4 linked regions of the Arabidopsis thaliana genome follow. The protein of the gene in region 3 interacts with the protein of the main gene of each other region in a pairwise test. Each region holds a gene or a part of one and is shown on either strand. Other genes may lie near its edges. The genes, in order: AT4G18205, AT1G52155, RHA1A and AT3G17620.

Region 1 (5,864 bases), 3.2 Mb from region 3:
TTGTAGCAACTGTTTGGCCTGAAATGACAAAGAATGTATATAAAGTCACCCTGAGCCACCGTTTGTATGTGTTAGAGTGAGATACTTCTGCTTGGCTGCTACTGACTGAATTTCTTTCATCTTGAACTGTTGGATTTGGTTCTTTTCCCTGCCGAACTGGTAAGTGAGTGAAAATAACGCAAAAATTAGTTTATTTGTTGTCGATCGTTTCATATATTGAATTATAAAATATCATAACCATCTTTTTTTTTTTTGAAGATGAAAGAATAGGACGTTCACCACAAACTGGTTTATGCTTACTCACCAATGATTTGTAGTTCTTGATCCGCCGTCATGGTGGATGTGGAATCACCACCTTGGAGATGGACAAGGAGGAACTAACGTATCTTATTATCAATTCTCTTGGTTGATAATGCTACCAAGTGATTGCTCCTTTGATATGGGTGAGATATGCTAAGTTATATATTCTGGGATTAGGAATCGGTCACCGTCTAAGTTTTCTTTGTTCTTGGCCCCACATTCAGTAAATGCCAACCATATCTCTTCTCTTTCCATGAATTTAGTATCTGTAGTCTTTCTACATGCAAAGATGCCTCTATTGTTGACCAAGAGATGAGTTAAGTCTAGGAGGAAATTATGTGTAGGCAATATTCATTCAGACTTTCTTCTGCAACTATGTGGAGGACATGAACCCCATACGCATAGACAAATAGAAACTTAACACGCATACGCATATGTATGAACGTGTACACAAGTTGTAGTATTCTGTGATCTTGATGAGGACGACATTTCTAAAAGTTATTTGTCTTTTTAAATTTATTTGGATTGGGTACACACTTCGGTTTCCATGGCTAGTCATGAAGTTTTTGCCATCAAGATGATGCTGACGTTAGCTAAAGATTATGTCTCGCCTATCTTTTCAAGAGAAGACATTCGCAACAACTTAATACTGGACGGCAGAGGAAGTCGCTATATAAAATGGTATTATTTCTGGTCATTTACTTTTTGTTCAAAGCTCTGTTTCCCCAAGGATGTTGGACCAATCTGACAAATTATCTTCTATCTCTCATTATACATGATTTGCTGTTTGTTCTTGTTTCCCAAGATTTAGGTGCATTTCAAAACTAGAAAGGAGAATATTGCATTGACATATCTGTAAGTTATGCTAACTGGTCAATTTTTATCGGGTTTCACACTCACACAATGAAAGTATCACAAAATTGACATGGTTTTTCTGTTAAATAAATGACTGCTTTTATCACTCTGCTCGTATTACACAATACTCTTTTGAATAAAAGTTCTAAATACCTGAAATATGAGCGACATACATATCCCATTTGCATGGACCATTACGGATATTACACATACAAGCTTTATATAGGTTATTTACATGACTGTGTACAACTATGTATGTTTGTTTCTGAGACCTTCGATACAACTTGTTTCATAAAGTTTGTGTTTCTTCCTCAACAGGTTTTGTCTGGCAAGTCTTCAACTTCTTTTCGTCGAGGTAGTGCTGATAGACAAATGAAAGGAAGCCCCAGATAGCTAAAATGATGGAGAAAATCTTTGATGCATCCATCTTATCATGGAAAACTATCACTGCTACAACTGGAACTATAGGCAGTCCCACAGCAGTTATGGAATTGGAGAACACAGAAGAAGACTCGAAGATTAATCCCACACAACCAACAGTGTATACTTGCCAGAAAATAGCTGCTGAGGCCAAAGTCAAGATATATGACACTTTCCCCAGTTTGTAGTTTCTCATCTCACTTGGCAGAGTTCTCCACTCTCCACTTGCAAACAGTCCTATGAGTACCACACAAGTTGCAACTAGAGACTGGTAATTGGCCAAGTCCAGGACTGCTGAGGATGTATGCTTCGTGAAAACTTTCCTGAAGAGCAGTTGTATCAGAGATAGTACCAATCCAATCCCAGCGGAAGCACCAATGGTACAGATGAACCCAATCACATATTGTACTCTAGATACATTTGTTGTGTTTTCTGAATCAGTGTTGACCACGAGGAGGGCAGAGGAAACCGTAAGGAGAAACAAAGAATTGACTATCAAAGGAGTGAACTTTTGCGAGTTAAGGAAATATGAGAAAAAGGCAGTGAAGGCCAACTGTGAGGCCAAGATGAGGGAGAAAGTAGAGACTGGTAAGTAAAGCAACCCAACTGCAGACAAATAAGCATAAGCAGACACTAGCAGTCCAGTGCACAAGTAAACCGATGCAAGGGTGGTGAAGGAAGGGGACTGACTGAAATTTGTATCTGTTGATTTGGGTTGCCTGATTCGAGAAAAGAAGCGGAAGAGAATCAGTACAGGGAAGCCAATGAGTTGAAGAAGTGTTACCACATATGTGCTTTTCCCTCCATTTTCATAGTACAGTCTACCCAGAACTGTAGCAAGTGGTTGGCAGAAGATGACAAAGATTGCGTATATGGAGACACGGAGCCACCTCTTACAGTTCTTCGTTTGAGGTACTGAAAATGATTCAGTTTCCTCATGATCTAGAAGGTTTGCTTCTAAGTTCTGGTCACCTGAAAAATTAACACTCGTGGTTATTATATTTCATCGAAAGAGGATCAAATGATCTAACGTCATCAGGTACCTTTTGCTTACCATTGCAATAGTGTACTTGAGATATGCCCATGAGAAATGAGAAAATTTGGAAGAAAGAATATTGTGTTTATTGATTTCTTTCGTTTGATATGTCTTTTAGATACAGAAGAGACCTTTCTTTATACACAAAATGATATTTATTATAGTAACTAAATACCCCAGATACAAGTTGCACTAATCAAACTTGGCAGACTTTTACTAATTTGTGTATAATAATAAAGATGGGTCAGGTGATAGATGACAGCAGTATCATAATTTAGTAGTCTCATGCTGACCATTGACCTTTCTTATTTGCTTACACTTGACTTAAAATTCTTAAAACTTTTGAATGGCGGCTCTAAGAGAACTCTTTTTCCTCAGTGTCTATTGACGTTAAATCAGAAGTCAACAAAGATACAAGAAGCCAAGCTCCTAGAGTATACGTTTTTGGTATTTTAAGGAGTTTTGTTGCAAGTCACTACATTGTTTATCTGTTATGTCAGTGGCTTCCAAGTAAGTGGGTATTATATCTGTTCACTTGTTTTTTTTTTTTGCTCAAAGCTCTGTTTTAGCCTATTTGTCTCTCTGACTTCGTTGTTTGCTCTTGATTCGGTGTTTCAAATGCATTGCAAAATTACAAAGCAGAGTATTGCATTTGCATCTTTAAGAAAACTTATTGGTATATATAGAAGAAAAATATTCTGAAATTATTGGTATCATATGTACAAAACTTATTAGCTATTATGACTGACTAGTTTGCAAAGTAGCGTTACACGTTTTTTATGCTCAAACTGTACAAAGATACATTGGCTTTGGCCTTTGAGGGGAAAAAAAGAAAGATACATTGGCTTTATACTGGAAATATGCTTTGATCACACACTTTGTATGTTTGTGTGACCTTCCTCAACAGGTAGATGAAGATCTCCTACAGCACTTGTGTGGCTAGTATTCAACTTCTTTTCGTCGAGGTAGTGCTGATAGACGAATGAAAGGAAGCCGCAGATAGCTAAAATAATGGAGAAGATTTTTGATGCGTCCATTCTATCATGGAAAACTATCACTGCCGCAACTGGAACTATAGGCAATCCCACAGCTGTTATGGAATTGGAGAACACAGAGGATGACTCGAAGATCAATCCCACAAGACCAAGAGTGTAGACTTGCCAGGAAATAGCTGCCGAGGCTAAAGTCAAAACATATGACACTTTCCCGAGTTTGTAGTTTCTCATCTCACTTGGCAAAGTTTCCCACTCTCCACTTGCAAAAAGTCCTATGAGAACTACACAACTCGCAACTAGAGACTGGTAAATGGCCAAGTCCGTGACTGCTGAGGATGTATGCTTCGTGAAAACTTTCCTGAAGAGCATTTGTATCAGAGATAGTAACAGTCCAATCCCAGCGGAAGCACCGATGGTACATATGAACCCGATCACATACTGTACTCTAGATACATTAGTTGAGTTTTCTGAATCAGTGTTGACCACAAGAAGAGCAGAGGATACAGTGAGGAGAAGCAAAGAACTGACTATCAAAGGAGTGAACTTTTGCGAGTTAAGGAAATATGAGAAAAAGGCAGTGAAGGCCAACTGTGAGGCCAAGATGAGGGAGAAAGTAGAGACTGGTAAGTAGAGCAACCCTACTGCAGACAAATAAGCATAAGCGGACACTAGCAGTCCAGTGCACAAGTAAACCGATGCAAGGGTGGTGAAGGAAGGGGACTGACTGAAATTTGTATCTGTTGATTTGGGTTGCCTGATTCGAGAAAAGAAGCGGAACAGAACCAGTACAGGGAAGCCAATGAGTTGAAGAAGTGTTACCACATATGTGCTATTTCCTCCATTTTCATAGTACAATCTACCCAGAATTGTAGCTAGTGGCTGGCAAAAGAGGACAAAGATTACGTATATGGAGACACGAAGCCACCTTTTATAGTTCTCGGTTTGAGGCACAGCTGATGATGATGATTCAGTTACCACCTCATGATCTATAAGGTTTGCTTCTAAGTTCTGGTCACCTGAAAAATTAACACTCATGTTTATTATATCTCATGAAAAAATGAATTCAAGGATCTAACTTTATCAGGTGCTTCTTCTTACCATTGGCATAGTGTTCTTGAGATCTGTCCATGAGAAAGAAGATTGTTTCTTGTTTTTATTGATTGGTTTTGTTTGAGATGTCGTGCAGATACACAAGAGGCCTTTCTTTAAACACACATTGATGGTATTACAAAAAAACATCTAAATACCCTACACAAGTTGCATTATCAAACATGGCAGGCTTTTAGTAAATCGTATTATATGGATGGGGCAGGCGATAGATGACAGTAGCAGTATCATTATTTAGTAGTCTCATGTTGACCGGTGACTTTTCTTATTTGCTTACACTTGACTTGTGGAATTCTTGAAACTTTTGAATGGCGGCTCTACGAGAATTTTTTTTATTTTCTCAGTGTCTACTGACGTTTAATCAGAAGTCAACAAAGATACAAGAATCCAAGCTCCTGGAGTATACGTTTTTGGTATTTTAAGGAGTCTTTTTACAAGGCACTGTTCAAGTCACTACATTGGTTATTTGTTATGTCAGTGGCTTCCAGGTAAGTGGGTATTATTTTTGTTCACTTGTTTCTTTTTTTTTGTTCAAAGCTCTGGTTTTCCAAGGATGCTTTAGCCTATTTGCCTCTCTGCTATCGATGTTTGCTCTTGTTTTTTGGTGATTCAAATGCATTGCAAAATGACAAAGCAGAGTATTGCATTTGCATCTTTAAGTTATGGGTATCTCCGGTATATAGAAGTAAAAAAGATCCGAACTATTGGTATCTTATGTACAAAACTTATCAGTTACTTATGATTGACTAGAGATACACGTTTTTATATCTATGCTCAAACTGTACAAAGATACATTGGCTTTACACTGGAAATATGTTTTGATCATACACTATGTATGTTTGTGTGACCTTCCTCAGCAGGTAGTAGATGAGGATCTCCTACAGGACTTGTGTGGCTAGTCTTCAACTTCTTTTCGTCGAGGTAGTGCTGATAGACAAATGAAATGAATCCCCAGATAGCTAAAATGATGGAGAAGATCTTTGACGCGTTCATTTTATCATGGAAAACAATCACTGCTACAACTGGAACTATAGGCAATCCCACAGCAGTTATGGAATTGGAGAACACAGAAGATGACTCAAAGATCAGTCCCACGACGCCAATGGTGTAGACTTGCCAGGAAATAGCTATCGAGGCCAAAGTCATAACGT
Region 2 (7,070 bases), on a different chromosome or scaffold from region 3:
CCCCGATTCCACCTCGAAACGAAGCCATAATATTATCAGTTCTCAAACCCATATTCTCCTTCTTCGAGCTCTCATTGAAATAAAAATGAAAACTTTAGAGAAAAGAAAAACCCTAGAAATTTATTCGAAGAAGGAAAGAGGAAAGAGGAAAGTAGAAGAGAGGATGAAGAAGAGATGTATGTAGAAAACGAATCATGGAGCTACTGTACTGTTTTGTTGTTTTTAGATGTTATCTACTTTGTGTGTTTTTTTTCCTCTAGCTCGTTCATGGCAACTTTGATTTTTTTTTTTGGCCTTAAAATAATAATATTATTTTAATAATGTGATTTGATAGTGCTGTTGCGTTTGTGAAATTAGCTTTTTCGTTGGCATTTTCTTTTGTTTTTTTTTATGATTGGCACATTTCAATTTCATAAACCAACAAACAACAACACCTCGAGGGAAAACCAAATTTCTCTTGTTTACTCTACGAAAATGGTCTAAATAGGTATAATTGTCAAAAAAATTGTTCCAAAAGGTTAAAAAAAGGTTAATTAAAGCTTAAAACATTCTCAAATATATAATCAGTGAAAATTGTAAACGAGAAAAAGGCAGTCAAATTGAAGAGAAAGGCAATCAAATGCTTATACTAGTGTAATAAATTTTATTTTTTTGCTATTTGTGAAAATTACCTATTGTTATACTATAGTTTTTTTATTATACTATAGTTTTTATATTTATAAATAAAAAAATTATGGTCATGCAATTTTCTTTTTTTTTTTAATATTTGAAAATTCAGACTCAAAAACACTCGGTTAAATTCATCTTTTATGGAAAAGAGATTCATCCCAATATGTTTCGAACTCAGCACTTCCACCTAAAAGATTTATCACTGAACTAACAGCACATTGATATGGTCATGCAATTTCTTCGATCTAATCATGGAAAACAACATAGATAATGTTAACGTTTAATGTTGTAATGTTTGTGACTAATCTCTAACGGATGCTAATCTTATACTCCTACATTTATGCCCACAATATGAAATTAATGAGGTTTATACCAATAAATATTACTACTTCTAAGTTTTAACTAGTAGTAAACGAGTGGTAAAAGAGTGAATAGGAGGGTAATAAAGGTAAGAAGGAATGGGGAAGGTCAGAGGCGTATAAAAAATAACAAAAGGCGTGGGAGAGAGGTCTGCGTAGGAGACAGAGACAACATCATTACCTTCTTTGCATGCGTCTCCTCCGTCTTAAAGCTGAAGCTTCACTTTCTTTCTTTCCTTCTTTCTTTTTCTCTATTCTCAAATTTCTTTCTTTTATTTTGTCAACTCTCTTTCAAATATTTTAATTTAACTAGTACTATTCCTTCATTTTCCCAATAATGCCTGTAAAAGAATTGTATTATACTACTGATTTGAATTGTTCATCATGATGAATTCAATTCTTCTTTAAGTGGTTTCAATTCAAGTCTTAACTTTTTCAATTACCAATATATTTTCATTATAGAGTACGTACACACAAAAAAGTGTAGAATTGACTGTTTTAATTAAACGTTGGACCGCTATCTTCATATCGGGCCTAAATTCAGCCCAGTCCATTATGTATCACGGCTGTTGCAATTGGTGGACTTGTTTCATATAGGCTATATAGGTCACTGATATTCAATCTGTCCACTGATTGTTCTATTTGGAAAAATAGAATGATTAATTTCGTTTGTTTTTTTACTCATAACAAAAAAAGATTGCTATATTTGCAGGAGATTTTTCTACTGGTTATAGTTGATTGCTTGCTTCGGTTCATGCAACTGCCAAATTAGTGAAGCAATCTCTCTGCTTTTTCAAGATTTAGCTTCTGGTGTATCTACATTATGGCCTGTATACTTTGGAAGATGGATCAGATCTTTCGTCAGATGCTAAATCTTATAAAAGAAATGTTTTTCCATAGTTATGGAACGAATATCACTGTTCGGCAAGTCAGAATCAAGCGGACCCTTGACCCAAATGAAACTAGGAATAAATTCATTATTGTAGTCAAAATGGAGGTGTTCTTGTTGCTTTGCTTCAAGATCCTTTTCTCTAATGATCTCAAAGCTCGTCGACTTGATGATCTGATGTTAGGTGTTTAGACTTAGAGGTTTAGCATAGCTGAGATTTAACATCAAATGTTATTCTGATCAAATTAACATTGTTAATTGTTATGGGAAAAAAAGACATTTGTTAAATGTAGATTGTAGTAAACCTAAATGGATAATGTTGATTACATATAAACATTCTTAAGAAATAGTGACATGCTTGCATCTTTCCCTACGTGAATCTTTCTCTCTGCCCGTTATATATTTTAATCTTCTTGCAGATACTTGTCCGAATATATATCATCAACCTACAATTTTTTTATTTTACATATGCCACGAAATTGATGTTTTGACTTTAATTTGATTTGTAGTGTCTTCCACGTTCCTTTTTTTCTATAACAACCAAAATAAGCATATGATTTAAGTGGTAAACTGCACCACGAAATTATAGCAACGAACTACATAGATAATACATAACATATAAAATATCAAAATCAAGAAAAAGTCACAACGACCAACAAAATTACATAAATTAAAAAAAAGGGTATTGGTGATCAAAACTCAACGACAAAAAGGAGAGAGTGGGTTAGTTGAATGACCATTTTGTTCGCATGTCTGCTCTCTCTTCTCCACCTTCTTTTTATGCTCCCCTATTCTCCCGACGACTCAAAAGTTCAAAACAATAAACACCACATTTATTTATTATTAATTATACAAAACAAACTAAAATTAATTAGTTTATGATTTAAAGTTTATTCAGGATAATTTATTAAAAATTTAATAGCAATTTTTATTATATAGAAAACAGAAAAATGATACAAATATTCGGATTATTTTATGAGTATACAAATTTTAGTTGCATTAAATGAAACTAAGCAATTAGTTGGAGATATTAGTGGAATTGATCTAAGGGCAGTTAAGTCTCAATTAATTGGTTTATCCAAAAAACCAAGATTAATTAGTGCAAAAGACAAGTGTCAATAGTACAGAGATTCATAAATAGAATTAGAAACCCCAACAAAAATGTGAAGCTTCCAAAAAAAAAGTAAGTATCAAAAAAACAGAATTTTGTCTTCGTTCTTCTCTGAGATTAAAGCTTTCTCTTTTGTAATGGAAGAATCTCAGGGCATCAATGGCGTCGATGATTCATATCGTCATCTCCCAATTCTCTACTTAACCTTTTTAACGATCTGGTCTTTCTCCGCTTGTTCTTGGACGGTTAACACTTTCAAAAATCGCCACTTTCAGGTCAATAAATCTCCTATTTTTTCTCTATCTTATTTCGATAAATTTTGGATTTTTCACTCTTGGGTTTATGAAACTTCTTCTCAAATTCCAAATATTACTCAAAATTTAATCAATTTTTTTTGCAGAATGGTACTTGGGATTTATTGTTTTAATCATGAATTCAGACGATTCTGTTTTTGATTTGTCTCTTTTATGTTTTTCATTAAGGAAGAAACACAATTTGATTTTGGTTCTGTGTTTTTGTTTAGAGCAGACAAATAGTTTACAATGGACTCTTGCTTCAGTTCCATTAATCAAAGCCTTACAGCTCACACTATCTTTCCTCTTTTGGTAAGTCCTCTTTGTGAAGTTATTGTTTCCATTAATGTTACCTTGTCATATTGAGAAATTATTTCTCAGTAACCTTTTTATCGAAAGATCGTTTTCGAAGTCTCTATAGTTGATTAATCTGTTATTTGGTGGCAGGCATTCATGTTTTCACCATCACATTTGCTCTCTATGGATGTCTTTTGGTGTATATGTGACTGGTGTTCTGTTTCAGACAGCTTCATTTGTGTCTTTTTTACTTATCTCTCACGGTTATTGCATCACTTGTGAACGGCTCTCGTTGACCGAACGTAGAACTACAGCTTCACTTGGTTGTGTCTTTTATTTGACTCTTGTTGGATACAGAGCTTCTGTTCCTTATTTTGCAGTGAGTTTTTACCTTTTTCACCTACTCATTAAAGCTAATCTTTTACTTACTTACAAGATGATGAATGAACCAATCTTTTTTTGCTCCTCCAGGTGCTTCTGATACTTAACTACATGATCTCATTCTATGTTATATTCCATCACATATCGCAAAATCTAGCGGTGTTACGAGAACAGCTGAGTTTTATCGAAGATGAGAATGTTCAAGCTATGCATGATGCTGTATATGCTAAATACATCATGTTCAAGTACGTTTTTCATTACCCTCAGGTTTGATGGTTGATGGAAGTAGATAATCTGCTAAGAGTTTTTATTTATGTTTATGGTTTCAGAAAATTCCAAGGAGCTATGCAGATTGTAGCAATGGCAGAAACTGTGGTATGACCAAATCTTTCTTGATTGACATCATGTTGAATTTACTGCTACATTGTTTATACTCACACTCACTTTAAATTATGCAGATCTACATGAACATGGATAACTCCTCACAAAACTATTGGCTCAGGCTACTAATTCGAGAATGGGCTCAGTTCTGCATTTTTCTCTATATTGGGTAAGTTATGATCCCACTTTTCAAGTACATTTCGCTGTTCTTGCTTTGGTCAAGAACTAACAATGCTCCAAACTATATACTTTGGCAGTTGGACTTTCAGGTCTCAGGATATGGCACCGCGTTTCTCGGTAATGCCTACACTAAAACCGAAAGAGAATACAATTATTCCTCCGATTTATAGCATGGTAAGTGACATAATGTAAACTTCCTTTTGCCTTGTAATATCTTGCATTAACCAAAACATAAAGCTTATTTTGCTTTGCTTATATGTGTTTTGGTTTTGAGTAATGTTCTACTTATGCTAAATCTATATACCAAAATATCAGGAAATGGACGCAAAATCTTTCAAAGAATTCAGAAGTCAAGAATGGAACATCGGAGTGGTAAGTCATTTCATTTATGCTCTTGTTCCATTGGATCATCAAGCCAGAGTTTTATGTAAACTCATTCTGTGTTTAAATCTCTTTTCGCAGCCAATGCCATATTCAAACTACGAAAAGCAAAAAGATTCAGTTCTAGTGATAATTCAGCATCCGCGATAGCATTTAGAGAGAAGCAAAAGATACAATGTTTTCCTCTATCCATCTTCCTAAAGAGAGTGAAAGATCACCAAAATTGACAAAGTTTCTCTCTGATTAAGACAAGATGCTTCCTCAGCAACTACCTTTCTCTCTTTCCATTTACATTTTGGGGTTTCTTATCTTATAGAGGAATAAAATTTGTATAGATGCAAAAACTAGTTCTAGTATAATGCTTCAAATGAAAATGTAAACACAAATCTTTCATCTTTTTCTTCACAAAATGAAACAAAAGAAACATTTAGAGAAAGCAACTCCAAATCCTTTTAAGAAAAAATCTCTCTTCTCCACATACTCTACATATCCATGCCCAGTTTTTAGTTTGTGTTCTTGAATTAGTCAATCTATGTTATTGAAAGGATTACTACGTTGTGGTATTTAGGATTTTGGTTAGTTAAGGATTGGCCAAATCAAGAACACAAACTAGAGATTTAGTGGATTAAATTGAGTGTATGGATCAATCCAAACCAATCTAATCCATGGGTTAATTGAGTGGAGAATTTGGATCTTAATGGATAATGGGTTAATGGGTTTAATGAATTGGATTGATATGGGTTAGATTAGAATGGATTAGTGGGTTACTATAACCAAACCAATGGAAAGTAAACAATCTAAATCAAATGTGTAAACCAAAGATAACCGAATCAAATGTCTAAACCGATTTAAATAAACCGAAGTAAACATGATTTAACTATTAAAACCATGAAATTAATTTTACCGCATTTTTCCGCTAAAAACATAATTTCGTAATTTCCGCCAAAACATAATTCCGTATTTTTTTTGGGTCAAAAACGTGATTCAGTATTTGATAGCTATTTAGATTATAGAAAAACTATAAACTGGACAAACTCATTTAATCCATTAGTCGAAGATGATGACTTGTTATTTTTTTTATTTTACTTTTTACTAATCATAAATTCAGAATTAAATTCATAAATTAATTAAATTTAAATTAAATTTAAAAATTCATATTAAAAAACTTAAATTAATTGTTTTATCATTTTTCGTGGCGGTGCAAACATGAAAACTAGTTTGGAGATTTAAAGTGTTAGCAAAATTATTTTGGTGGTTCATAATATTAATGAAATTCTTTCTGGGTTTAAAGCGCTACCAATAACACTTTGAAGGTAAAAATATGATTTTCCCGAAAAACAATTGCTAAATTAACACAATTAATATGTCAAAACTATAGCCCAAATTTCAAAATTTTCCATTTTACTTTTCTTTCAACCACAAGAGAGCAAACGAACAATAATGAAGATCTATTGCACTGTTTTAAGTCATCACAAAGCTTCTTCCTTTAAGTCATCCATGGCAACATCATCTGCATCCTCATCTTCAACCATCTCATCTCTGAAAAGAGTTTTGAAATACGGCAAAACCTTAGGAAGCACATGCAAATCCGCCATGTTTATACTCATCAGATCAAAGGCAATGCAGGTATTATGCATATGCGACTCATCAATCACTGGAATCTTCGGATATCTCTGGCTAAAATGTGTGAGAACAATCCGATACACATTCGCCGCAGATCCCACATCGATTGCTTCTTTAGTCGTGCTGTGATTCTTCGCCAAAGCTTCTTCTATCAACGCATCTTCAAACGTTGCCTGTCAAAAACAATCAGTTTATGAATGTCGAAATCTAACTTGTAGAATTGTGTTAAATAACAACTTTTACCTCATGTATAAGAATTGTTGCATCTCGTGATGCTTCGACCGTCTCAGGGCAAGGTCTTGAGTCGCCCGAATAAACCATTTTCCATCCAAGGATTTGTTCTCCAACACTATTTACTCTTTCAGCTGCCTTGATAACAACACCATACGCTTGAGGACAATGTACAACAGGAAAACTAATCAAATCATTCAATCCAATTTCGCTAAGAACCTTCTTCAGATTCTTTAAACACAGCAAAACCGAAGAATTATCCATCGAGATATCAG
Region 3 (5,262 bases):
AGAATCATCATTAGTATTGAAAATTTATTTACACACATTGGAAGACTGAAGATTCAAAAGTGTACACTTGACTTGACTGTTCAATTTCAACGGTTGCGTCATTCACTACTTCAAATGAATGTAGACGATATTCGATGTATTCGTGGATCCACGATTTGTTGACAAACTTTTACCTAACTTTGGTTTTTCTGATTAAAAAAAACGAAACCTACTAAAACAAATAAGATTCTTGTATACTAGGAATTTAGTTTAGTATATACTCCATATCAGTTACCTATCATTATCAAATGGTACACTCTGTAGCTAGGAGTAGGACATGGCAAAATATTCGTTAAATTTGATTTGATTATTCAAAAAAATTATAGACATAATAACTCAAAGCAAATATTAAAATATGGTATATGTTTTAAACAGAGCAAACAAAACACAAATAACAAAAGTAAAAAGGTCGAATATCCTGCTTTAATCCATATTTTCCATGTACATATACTATATGAGAAATGTGTATTTTTTATTAACTTTTTTTTTTTTTGACAAATTCATATATTATGAAGTACGTTGAAGTAATTTTAATATGATAAAAAGATTTAACTGATAAATATAATCATGAAATAAATAAAAATCATTATTATTTTCGATTTTTATTTCTTTCGAAATAAAATGTTTCCGAAATTGTTATTATTTTTCGTATATCAAAAATGAAAACATTTCTTCAAAAGATGTAATATCTTTGAAATAAAATGGAGTTTTAAATAAAAAGTCTTTGATTTAGTTATTATTTTCTTTTTAAAAAACATCGTTTTTTAATACCTAGTTAGTTGTACATATTTAATCATTCTTTAGTTTATATAGTATTAAAAACCATCAGAAAAAAACATATGTTTAATGAATTTTGTAACAAGAAAATATATTAAAATAAATTATAACTCGGTACATTGATCTGATGATAATAGATATAGTTAGGAGTGTCAAAATGGGTCAAAATTCATAGGTCAACTCAACTCAACTCAACCCATGAACCTTAATGAGTTGAAAATTTTGACTCAAATGAGTTGATGGGTCAAATGAGTTGATGAGTCAATTGGTTTGATGAGTAAAATGAGTTGGGTTATAATGGTTAATGGTTTCAATGGTTTACCCAATTAACCCATTAAGTTTTGTAAAATTGAATTAAACCAACTAAAATCTCTAAACCAATGTCAATTTAAGTTTAATCAACACATCTAAACCAATTTAATAAAATTAATATTTTTCCAAATTTCTTAAATATACAAACGATGAAATTGAGAAAAAGTAAACTCGTAATTTTTTCACCAAAAAAACATAAACCCGTGATTTTTCCGCCAAAAACGTAAACCCGAGATTTTCCCGCCAAAAACGTAAACCCGAGATTTTCCTGCCAAAAACGTAAATCCATAATTTTTCCGCCAAAAACGTAAACCCGTGATTTTCTCGTCGAAAACGTAAATCCGTAAAAAGTGGAATCGGTAAATATCCTAAGTTTGATGATAATGAATTAATATTGATAATTATTTATTATTATTTTATAATAATAATTAATTAAATTACTATTTAAATAGGTTAACCCATTTAACAACTCAACTCATCAAATTAAATAAGTTATGGGTTGACCCAACCCATTTAACAAAATGAGTTGGGTCAACCCATAACTCATTTAACCCTAAACTCATTTGATTATGAGTTAAGTTGAGTTGGGTTATCCATTTTGACATCCTTAGATATAGTGTTGTTTTTGTATAAAGATATATATAGTGTTGTTCCTTCAAAAAGATGATCTATGTTAATATACATAGAGTTATACTGGAATTGATACAACAAATATTCTGCCGACATAGATTAAACCAATTAGTTGGTACTTTCCACTTCATCACTAAACCAATCTGAACCAGAACCCCAATCAGATTGCGTGTACTTTTCTTTCGGTAAGAACCGGTGCCGACAAACCGGACATTTCATCTTGTTGTAGTCAACGATCCAACGGTCTAAACAATAATGATGAAACACGTGTCCACACTTGGGTAGCTGCCTAACCTTATCGTCGGACTCAAAATCTGACAAACAAACCGTACAACAATCTTCCGGATCGGTCGGAAGATCCGAGAACCGAACCACCGGGATCAACTCGTTAGCAAGACTCGCTGACGTAGAGAGAGCGTGTCGGGTCAGATCGGGTGCAGAGGTCTCGTTGTGGTCTAGAAAACGAGGTAGACCAATGTAAGGACAAAGAGCATCGACGATGTCTCTAAAGAAACCGATGACGTAAAGTATCTTTAATATGTAACTTGGAATCTGAAGCTCGGTGATGAAATCTTCAGGAAGACCCATGATTTAGAGAAAGATAGAGAAGAGAGCTAGATTGAGATGTGGAACTATAGAGACAAGAATAAAGTGTGTATAATAAAAAATGGTGAGATTTATAATTGTGTTTGGAGTACAATTCAAACCGGCAGCTGAAGATAAGTATAACCAAATTGATGTCAAAACAAAAGAGAATACATATTCTATATACTTTTCTTTGCAAAACGGTGAATGGTTGAATTTTAATAACACAGTTTAAAGACTATTGACATCAAGGAATTTTAATAACACTGTTTAAAGGATTTTTCAAAGAAAAAAAAGTTCTTTAATACTACTTCAAAATGGTAACGACTATTCAGAGACTCCATCCAAAAATTTATAAAGTTTTACAAACGTATAAAAGTAGTTTGTTTAAGTTTTCTTATAAAGTTACACTTATTTAGGTATATTTCAGATTTTAAAGATATTTTTGATAAATGTTTTAGAGAGATGACATTTTTGAAAAGTGGTAATGGAAAATGTGCATTTCTAACAATTCTTCCTAAATATAGTATATGATTTTAGCAAAGCAAAACTCAAATAATATCAGTTAAAAAGTCGATTATCCGCTTTAATTCAAACTATGTCAATTTTGTAGTAGTTATATAAAGTACAACAGAAAGAATTTAAATATGATAAAAAAGATTCATTTGATAGATATTATGAAAGGCAAAAATTTGTTTTTTTCGTCGAAAGACATATAGATTTATAGTGGATGAAATATCTTCTAAACTATTATTTTTTTTGAATAAAATATATTGCTTTATATCAATTTTGACAAAGACTAAGGTAGTTTACGTATTAATTCATTCTGTAATTTATAAAGTACAAATAAAAATAGTATCATGGATTTTAATAGACAAATTAAGAGTTTCTTTAAGATATTTTTCGGTATAAAACTGTTTACAAATTCTATTTGGTAGAGACGAATTAGATTATGAATACTGTTTTTCTTCAAAAGAAAATGAATTCAGATTCCTAACATAGCGATATACCATAACACTTGATGTGTTTATTTGTCCACTTTTTTATTCAAATAAAAGAAAAGCAGATTACATTGGAAGATTTTATACAGACGGTTCTTTAACAAAGAAAGATGATTGATGCTAATATACACAATTACATAATCTTATACTTGAATTATACAGTAGTTTGGAAGAAAGAATTATACAGTAGAAAAATATTACCGTGAAAAAAGTAAAAAGTAAAAGTAAAACCATCATTATTAGTTGGTACTCTCCACTTCATCTCTAAACCAATCTGAAGTACCCCAATCAAACGGCGTGGACTTTTCCTCCGGTAAGAACCGGTTCCGACAAATCGGGCACGTTATCTTATTACAGTCAACGATCCAACGGTCTAAACAACGATGATGAAACACGTGTCCACACTTCGGCAGCTGTCTAATCTTATCGTCGGATACAAAATCGGATAAGCAAACCGTGCAGCAATCTTCCGGATCGGTTAAAAGATCGGAGAAACGAACCACCGGGATTAACTCGTTGGCAAGAGTTGCTGACGTGGAGAGAGCGAGTCGGGTCGGGTCGGATCGAGAGGTCTCGTTGTGGTCAAGAAAACTTGGTAGACCGATGTAAGGACAAAGAGCATCGACCATGTCTCTAAAGAAACCGATGACGTAAAGTGTTTTTAGTACGTAACCTGGAATCTGAAGCTCTTTGAAATCTGTTGGAAGACCCATGAGTGTGAGAGAAAGATAGAGAGGAGAGAAAGAAAGAGATAAAGCTTGAATTGTTGAATTATAGAGACAAGTATAATATATAGTGAGATTGATGTTGGAGTTATAATAATTGAATCCGGCGGCTCAAGATAAGTATAGTCAATTTGATCAACAATGGTGGGTCTTATTTAGTGTATAATGTAAAATAGTAAAATATTTTGCTTGGTATAGAAACAAAGAGAATATATTAATACAATTTTCTGTGATAGATAATGTGGTGACGTTAAGGGTCTTCTTTAGTATATACCAAAACAAAAAAAACAAATTTTAATATTAGGTAGAAATTTAATACCCGAATGATGGATTTATTGGGATCTTGACATCAGGGATTCAAGAGTGGATAGTGAAGATATGAACACGATCTTGAATCTATAGGTCCTACCAAACTAAAATCATCTTGAATCCATAAGAATGATTCTCTCCTTACATGAGATATTATATACTTCAAATTTCATATAGAAGAGCAAATGGGGATGTAGCTCAGATGGTAGAGCGCTCGCTTAGCATGCGAGAGGCACGGGGATCGATACCCCGCATCTCCATTTTTTTGTTGTGAATTTATCCTTGTTTTTTGTCGTTTTATTATTCCCACTAAAAGATACACATTCTTTGATATTGGGCCTTTGGTACGAAACCCATAATTTGGACGCACTCATACTTTAATTCGCACGCATTTAGACACTCTTTAGTACTTTATTATTCAGACATAACGGTGATGAAGTCATCTTGTCGTAGTTCTATATTCGGTTTGCACAAAGAGACACAATGAATTATCCAATGTCAGAGCGTTTCACTTTGTTTTCTCAGAAATATCTTTAAAGTTTTGTCATGCAGAATCTTCAAAATTTAGCAACACACTGAGTTTTCAAAATTTAGCAACACACTGAACCTTCAAAATCTAGCAACACACTGAGTTTTCAAAATTTAGCAACACACTGAACCTTCAAAATTTAGCAACACACTGAGTTTTCAAAATTTAGCAACACATTGAGTTTTCAAAATTTAGCAACAAACTGATATCAAATTTGTAATCCTTAGCTTGCAAATATAGAATTTGTTGTAGTAGAGACATTTTGAATCAAGTAAAGATGTAATCATATTATATAAGTTACTATATGATCCACGTAATGGCTAATCGCTTACCGGTAATTGAAAAAGAGAAACAA
Region 4 (5,824 bases), on a different chromosome or scaffold from region 3:
GAAGAGAAGATTTCTACTTTGACGAACGAGAACACAATGCTTCGTAAAATGCTTATTAACACAAGGCCTAAAACTGATGACAATCACTAAATATTTACCCTTTAATCCATTGTTCAGTGTTGTATGATTATCTTTCTTTCTTTTTTGGTTTTGGTTTGTATACACTTTTTGTTCGAATAACATTCACTTTGAGCATCATTGTCATTCAGATTTGCAAAATAAAGTAAAAAAAAACGAAAAAAGGCAAGAAGAGATTAGGTATAAAAACTAGAGTTCTAAAATGCCGTGGTGGGTCCCACATGTTCTTATGCGAGTGAAACGAAGAAGTCTCTGGAGAATTTGTTTTCGTAGAGACCAAGCTGCTGCTATATAAATATTGTGAAAGAGATGAGATTTTAATTACTTGTAAGTGATTCAGAGAGATCAGAAGAAAAGAATAATTACGAAGAAATGGAGAATTTTGGTGAAGGGAGAAGAAGTGGAGGCGGAATGTTGCCGTTGCTGGCTCTAAGCGCCGTCGCGGAGTACTATAGACTACCGTGGAAACCACCGGTGACGGCGAGTCTCCTGGCCGCGAACACTCTCGTTTATCTCAGGCCGGCGTTTATCGATCCCGTTATTCCTCACATCAGTGAGGTCTGGTTCAATCCTCACCTCATCTTCAAGGTAAACCAATCTTAATAAATTCCTTCATTCGCCAAGAGAAATTGATTGCAATTTGACCGATTTCGATCTGAAATTCGAATTTGAGTTTCCTGGGAAATTTGTACCAATATCTGGAGAATTAGGGATTTTGTTCTTCGATATCTAATTAGATCATTCTTGATTGATTAATTCTATTCTCTGTTAAAGTTTTTTTTTTTAATCTTGATGTGTATTTGTTGAACAGCATAAGGACTTGAAGCGTTTATTTCTATCAGCGTTCTACCATGTTAACGAGCCTCACTTAGTCTATAACATGATGTCACTTCTCTGGAAAGGTATCAAGCTTGAGACATCAATGGGAAGCAGTGAGTTTGCTTCAATGGTCTTTACTCTTATTGGTATGTCTCAAGGAGTCACATTGTTGTTAGCCAAATCGCTTCTTCTCTTGTTTGACTATGACAGAGCTTACTACAACGAGTATGCGGTTGGGTTCTCGGGTGTTCTCTTTGCTATGAAAGTTGTTCTTAATTCTCAAGCTGAGGATTACTCAAGTGTGTATGGTATCTTGGTTCCAACAAAGTATGCTGCTTGGGCAGAATTGATTCTAGTGCAGATGTTTGTACCTAACGCTTCGTTTCTTGGGCATTTGGGTGGAATCCTTGCTGGTATTATCTATTTGAAGCTGAAAGGTTCTTACTCAGGCTCAGATCCAGTCACTATGGCGGTTAGAGGTGTATCTCGATTGGTGACGTGGCCCTTGAGGTTTCTGAATGGTATGGTTAGGTCTCGGAGAAGGAGGATTACGGGGAGAGGAAGAGTGGGAAGAGGTCAGACTGGGATAGCAGGACCTGGTATTTGGAGATGTCAGTCGTGTACATATGACAATTCTGGTTGGTTAAGTGCTTGCGAGATGTGTGGCTCGGGACGGGCTAGAGGAAATGGATGGTCACTGAATCAGGGACCAGCACTTTCTTCTTCTAATGATCTCCCTTTAGATGAGCTGCGCCGTCGAAGAGTAGAGAGGTTTAGTTGATCTCGGGAGCGCATTCTTAAAGCTGAGGAAGGATTGTGAATGAAGCTTTGTTGAATCATTCATTGCATTAGCTTATGAATAGCAGAGTTAGTGGTCGTGTTTTTCGATCTGTTTCTTCAATTTGTCTTCTCTTTTGTTGTTGAAGATTTGGTTCTACGTGAACTGGTCCTTTGATTAGATTGCTGAAAGTAGCGAGTGATTCAGATAATATAGTATCTTCACACCAAACTTACAGTTTCACAGACTTTCGATTTTAACAAAATTTTATCCTATTTCAAACCAAATTTTGTTGAAAGAAGAAGATCACAAAGCAAGATATAAATGTTAATCAGTAATCAATTTCCCTTTTTTCTTCCTTTTGCCTCCTTGCTTGATTTGCGCTGAGCTTGGAACATACGAGCACACAAGTGGATCTCGAATTTTATCAGTAGTTTTTCCGAGATCCACTTCTTTGTAATATCCATCCTCTCCAATGATGTAAGCTGTGTTGTGAGTGGGATACATTACATCTTTGTCTTTAGCAAAGACTACAACAACTTTCTTCTCTTCGTCAATGATGAAACTCGCATCTGCAATTCCAAACTTAAAATCAGTGAGTGGTTGCATATCCACTGCTAAGAACAACTTGCTCCACATCACCTCTTCAGGTTCAATCTTAGTCGTAACCCAAATCTCCATATGTAAGTTGTCCTTACGCTGAAATAACACAGCAAGTTGCTCTTCTCTAACACTAGAAAGACTCACAGTATCTACATCCATAGGGTAACACGGCAAATGAAGACGCGGCCCAAATCTCTCCGATGTAAAATTAAAACAGAGCAAGAAATAAACACTATGTATAAGATTACTGCTGATTTCTGGAAACTTGTCTGTAGCAAACCAATAAGTATTTCCCTTGAGAGAGACACCTCGTGCATAAAACTCTACTTCCCAGTCGGAAGTGACATCGAGAACCCTCCATGAATTAGACTTTAACTCGTATATTTCGTACTCAACAAATTCTTCTTCGGCAAAATCAACGAATCGCAAAACTTTGTAGCGTAGGCTTGATTTACGCTTCTCGTATCCTATAGCACAGATATACCAGTCCATTCTATGGTCAGGACTACTGGGTTTGAGCCACAAAGTTTGGCTCCTATACGGATTCCAAACCACGACCCTAGTGTAGTCTTTCGAGATACATAACAGTAAACCGTCGCAGTGATATACTTCAGATATATCGATCTGATCTGTACCGTTTAGGCTAACAAGTTTAGCTTGACGGTTTATAGACGGGTCAAAGCCGTTGTGAATTCCACGGAGGTTGATGCTCGTTAGATAAACCTTACAATGCAAGACCATGACAACCTTAAACTCACTTTCCCTTGATGTTGCTTCCTGAGCAAGGTGCTTCTTTGTAAAGCTCCGCTTTTTGGATAATGTTTTCCAATTTTTGCAGGTAAATCGCGCTTCTCTCAATGATTTCACCGGAACCCTAGAGAGTCTCTCCTCCAACAAATCTCTTGGAAGATCGGACATCATCTTCAAATCTTTCAAATTTGAACAAGGATCGATGTAACACAAATTAGTTAGGTTTGAAACTTCAGTAAAAAGCTCTCATGTTTCCCCACAGGAACCCTAACTCAAGCTGGGCCGAAACACAACTCTGCCCTCTAAAAATTTCCCGGAATTATTCATCTTTTTGAACTCTTATTTATATGACTGTGATGTCGTTTCATTTATGGGCTTTATTATTGGGCTTTTAGCCCAACTGTAGTTAAAAACTTTTTAGTGATTCTCATTTGTATATGGCGGGGGAGATGATCGACGGTCGCTTCTTGCGGTGGAGATGGAGGAGGAAGACTCTCCTCTCCGACTGCGGCGATTGAACCGAGAGAGCCACCGAAGATTCGAAACCTACAAAATATAGAGGGTGATGTAATCCAGCGTCTGAGCTCGCTGAGAACAGCCTCGACGCCGATTCCAATTCAGTACGGTGGCTTAAAGCTCCTTCAATTCTCAGACCATGGCCAAGGCTCTGTATCTTTTGCTCACTGGTTCTACCATTGTGAGTTCTTCACTACCACCTGCTTTGAATTCAACTACAATCTATCTACAAAATTCTCTAGCCGAAACCTTTCAAGTTTTAGCATGAGACCCTTAGCTTCAATTGTTTTTCTCTTGGACACTGTCTAACTTTGATTCTTCTTGGAATTGATTAGGAAATGGCTAAGAAAGTTGGAGAAGTTATAGAAAAATCCTGCGTAGAGAATGGGATCACAAAGGTGGCCTTTGACCGTGCAATTTACACTTACCATGGCTTTAGCTGCTTCAGCAAATAGAACACGGTCTCCAATTTTAAGTCTTTTTTTGTTTTGTCCTTCTCAGAAATTTGCTTGTATAGAACCCATGATTGAAATTTAGATTAGTCGGCTTGGAACAGTGTTAACTTCTTCCTTTTTAATGTGTTCATTTGTTCTTACTACTTATGCATCTCAAGAATGTTTATATCGTCTATACGATGATAATATATTTGAAAATGGTTGATGTTTACAAAGCTTCAGAAGGTAAGACATCAAATGTGCTGCTTAGTTAAGAGACAGGTACAAGTGCTTGCAAATTTAGGACAGAAGGACAAAGACAGAGACGAAAACTTCGGCGCAGTGAAGGCAGTTCATATCTGCGAAGTATAGATGCGATATGGTTGGAAGTTAAGTAACTGATAGTCTATAAATAGAAAAGTGCGAGGTATATGCCCACCCTGGAGTTGGTATGTCCGCTTCTATCTCATCTACCTATTATTAGCAAACTATAGACGTTATTAGTTTTCTGTTTTTTCCTTTTATATACTCACTTCTTTAATGTAGATTCTGTTTAATAAAAACAGTAACAGAACAGAATAAAATCTTGATTTCTTTTTTTTCCTCCCATTCAGGTCTCATACTTCGTTTGGCAATGCAATGAGGGAGCAGCCAAGGCAGTATTGAAGGGTGAAGCAGTATCTCGTTTCTTGACCAATCATCAACCTGTAAGTAGATCTCCACTAGGATGGCAAGCACCAACGTTACAGGGCAATGCCCGGGTCCAATGAAGGCTACCTCCAATGGAGCCTTCCAAAACGAAAGCCCTCTTGATTTCGCGCTTCCTCTTATCATCCTACAAATCGTCTTGGTGGTTGTGTTTACAAGGCTCTTAGCTTACTTTCTTAAGCCTCTCAAACAGCCCCGAGTCATTGCTGAGATCATTGTGAGTTTCCTACTCAATCTCTTTGTATTTTTCTTTTTCTGTTTTGATGAAATCACATAGCAAAAGAGACTAAAAGGGATGGTTCTGTAGGGAGGGATACTGCTTGGACCTTCTGCACTAGGGAGAAGCAAGGCCTATCTTGACACCATCTTCCCAAAGAAGAGCTTGACCGTTTTAGACACACTCGCCAACATTGGTCTTCTGTTTTTCTTGTTCCTAGTTGGGCTTGAGCTTGACTTTGCAGCAATAAAAAAAACTGGAAAGAAATCACTATTGATAGCCATAGCTGGGATCTCACTTCCTTTTATAGTGGGTGTAGGCACATCTTTTGTTCTCAGTGCCACCATAAGCAAAGGAGTCGATCAGCTTCCTTTTATTGTCTTCATGGGTGTTGCCTTATCAATCACTGCCTTCCCTGTGCTTGCTCGTATACTAGCTGAGCTAAAGCTTCTAACAACTGACATTGGACGTATGGCAATGTCTGCAGCGGGAGTAAACGATGTTGCAGCTTGGATACTCCTTGCGCTTGCTATTGCTCTCTCAGGAGATGGGACTTCTCCTCTTGTATCTGTTTGGGTTCTTCTCTGTGGAACTGGATTCGTGATCTTTGCAGTTGTGGCAATCAAACCTCTGCTTGCTTATATGGCTAGACGCTGTCCTGAGGGAGAGCCTGTAAAGGAACTCTATGTTTGTGTCACTCTAACCGTGGTTTTAGCAGCAAGCTTTGTGACAGACACTATTGGGATACACGCGCTGTTCGGGGCGTTTGTGGTAGGTATAGTAGCTCCTAAAGAAGGACCATTTTGCAGGATTTTGACTGAGAAGATAGAGGATCTTGTTTCGGGGCTTCTTCTACCTCTGTATTTTGCGGCTAGCGGTCTCAAAACTGATGTAACAACGATCAGGGGAGCACAGTCATGG

Evidence for each region.
Region 1: the proteins of RHA1A (region 3) and AT4G18205 interact in a protein complementation assay, tested with the Arabidopsis thaliana proteins (one large-scale study listed by BioGRID).
Region 2: the proteins of RHA1A (region 3) and AT1G52155 interact in a protein complementation assay, tested with the Arabidopsis thaliana proteins (one large-scale study listed by BioGRID).
Region 4: the proteins of RHA1A (region 3) and AT3G17620 interact in a protein complementation assay, tested with the Arabidopsis thaliana proteins (one large-scale study listed by BioGRID).

What each region holds. Positions count from the first base shown.
Region 1 is NC_003075.7:10,070,646-10,076,509, reverse strand, and holds AT4G18205 (Nucleotide-sugar transporter family protein), read right to left. Parts: upstream 2,800-5,864; 5' UTR 2,661-2,799; coding exon 2,630-2,660; intron 2,548-2,629; coding exon 1,445-2,547; 3' UTR 1,140-1,444; downstream 1-1,139. Other genes in the region: PUP10 (purine permease 10), read right to left, coding at 1-156, 305-335; AT4G18203 (uncharacterized protein), read left to right, coding at 2,851-2,859, 3,011-3,058, 3,590-3,766; PUP7 (purine permease 7), read right to left, coding at 3,481-4,622, 4,705-4,735; PUP8 (purine permease 8), read right to left, coding at 5,536-5,864.
Region 2 is NC_003070.9:19,414,501-19,421,570, forward strand, and holds AT1G52155 (uncharacterized protein), read left to right. Parts: upstream 1-2,933; 5' UTR 2,934-3,165; coding exon 3,166-3,303; intron 3,304-3,556; coding exon 3,557-3,633; intron 3,634-3,768; coding exon 3,769-3,997; intron 3,998-4,089; coding exon 4,090-4,244; intron 4,245-4,328; coding exon 4,329-4,374; intron 4,375-4,457; coding exon 4,458-4,549; intron 4,550-4,637; coding exon 4,638-4,734; intron 4,735-4,875; coding exon 4,876-4,932; intron 4,933-5,022; coding exon 5,023-5,091; 3' UTR 5,092-5,374; downstream 5,375-7,070. Other genes in the region: TRZ3 (tRNAse Z3), read right to left, coding at 6,411-6,737, 6,808-7,070.
Region 3 is NC_003075.7:6,904,861-6,910,122, reverse strand, and holds RHA1A (RING-H2 finger A1A), read right to left. Parts: upstream 2,636-5,262; 5' UTR 2,347-2,635; coding exon 1,867-2,346; 3' UTR 1,681-1,866; downstream 1-1,680. Other genes in the region: RHA1B (RING-H2 finger A1B), read right to left, coding at 3,584-4,057. UniProt on the Arabidopsis thaliana protein: Probable E3 ubiquitin-protein ligase that may possess E3 ubiquitin ligase activity in vitro.
Region 4 is NC_003074.8:6,024,496-6,030,319, forward strand, and holds AT3G17620 (F-box and associated interaction domains-containing protein), read right to left. Parts: upstream 3,200-5,824; coding exon 2,003-3,199; 3' UTR 1,951-2,002; downstream 1-1,950. Other genes in the region: HYH (HY5-homolog), read left to right, coding at 1-90; RBL14 (RHOMBOID-like protein 14), read left to right, coding at 451-666, 890-1,678; AT3G17626 (structural constituent of ribosome), read left to right, coding at 3,684-3,725, 3,880-3,999; CHX19 (cation/H+ exchanger 19), read left to right, coding at 4,706-4,903, 4,994-5,824.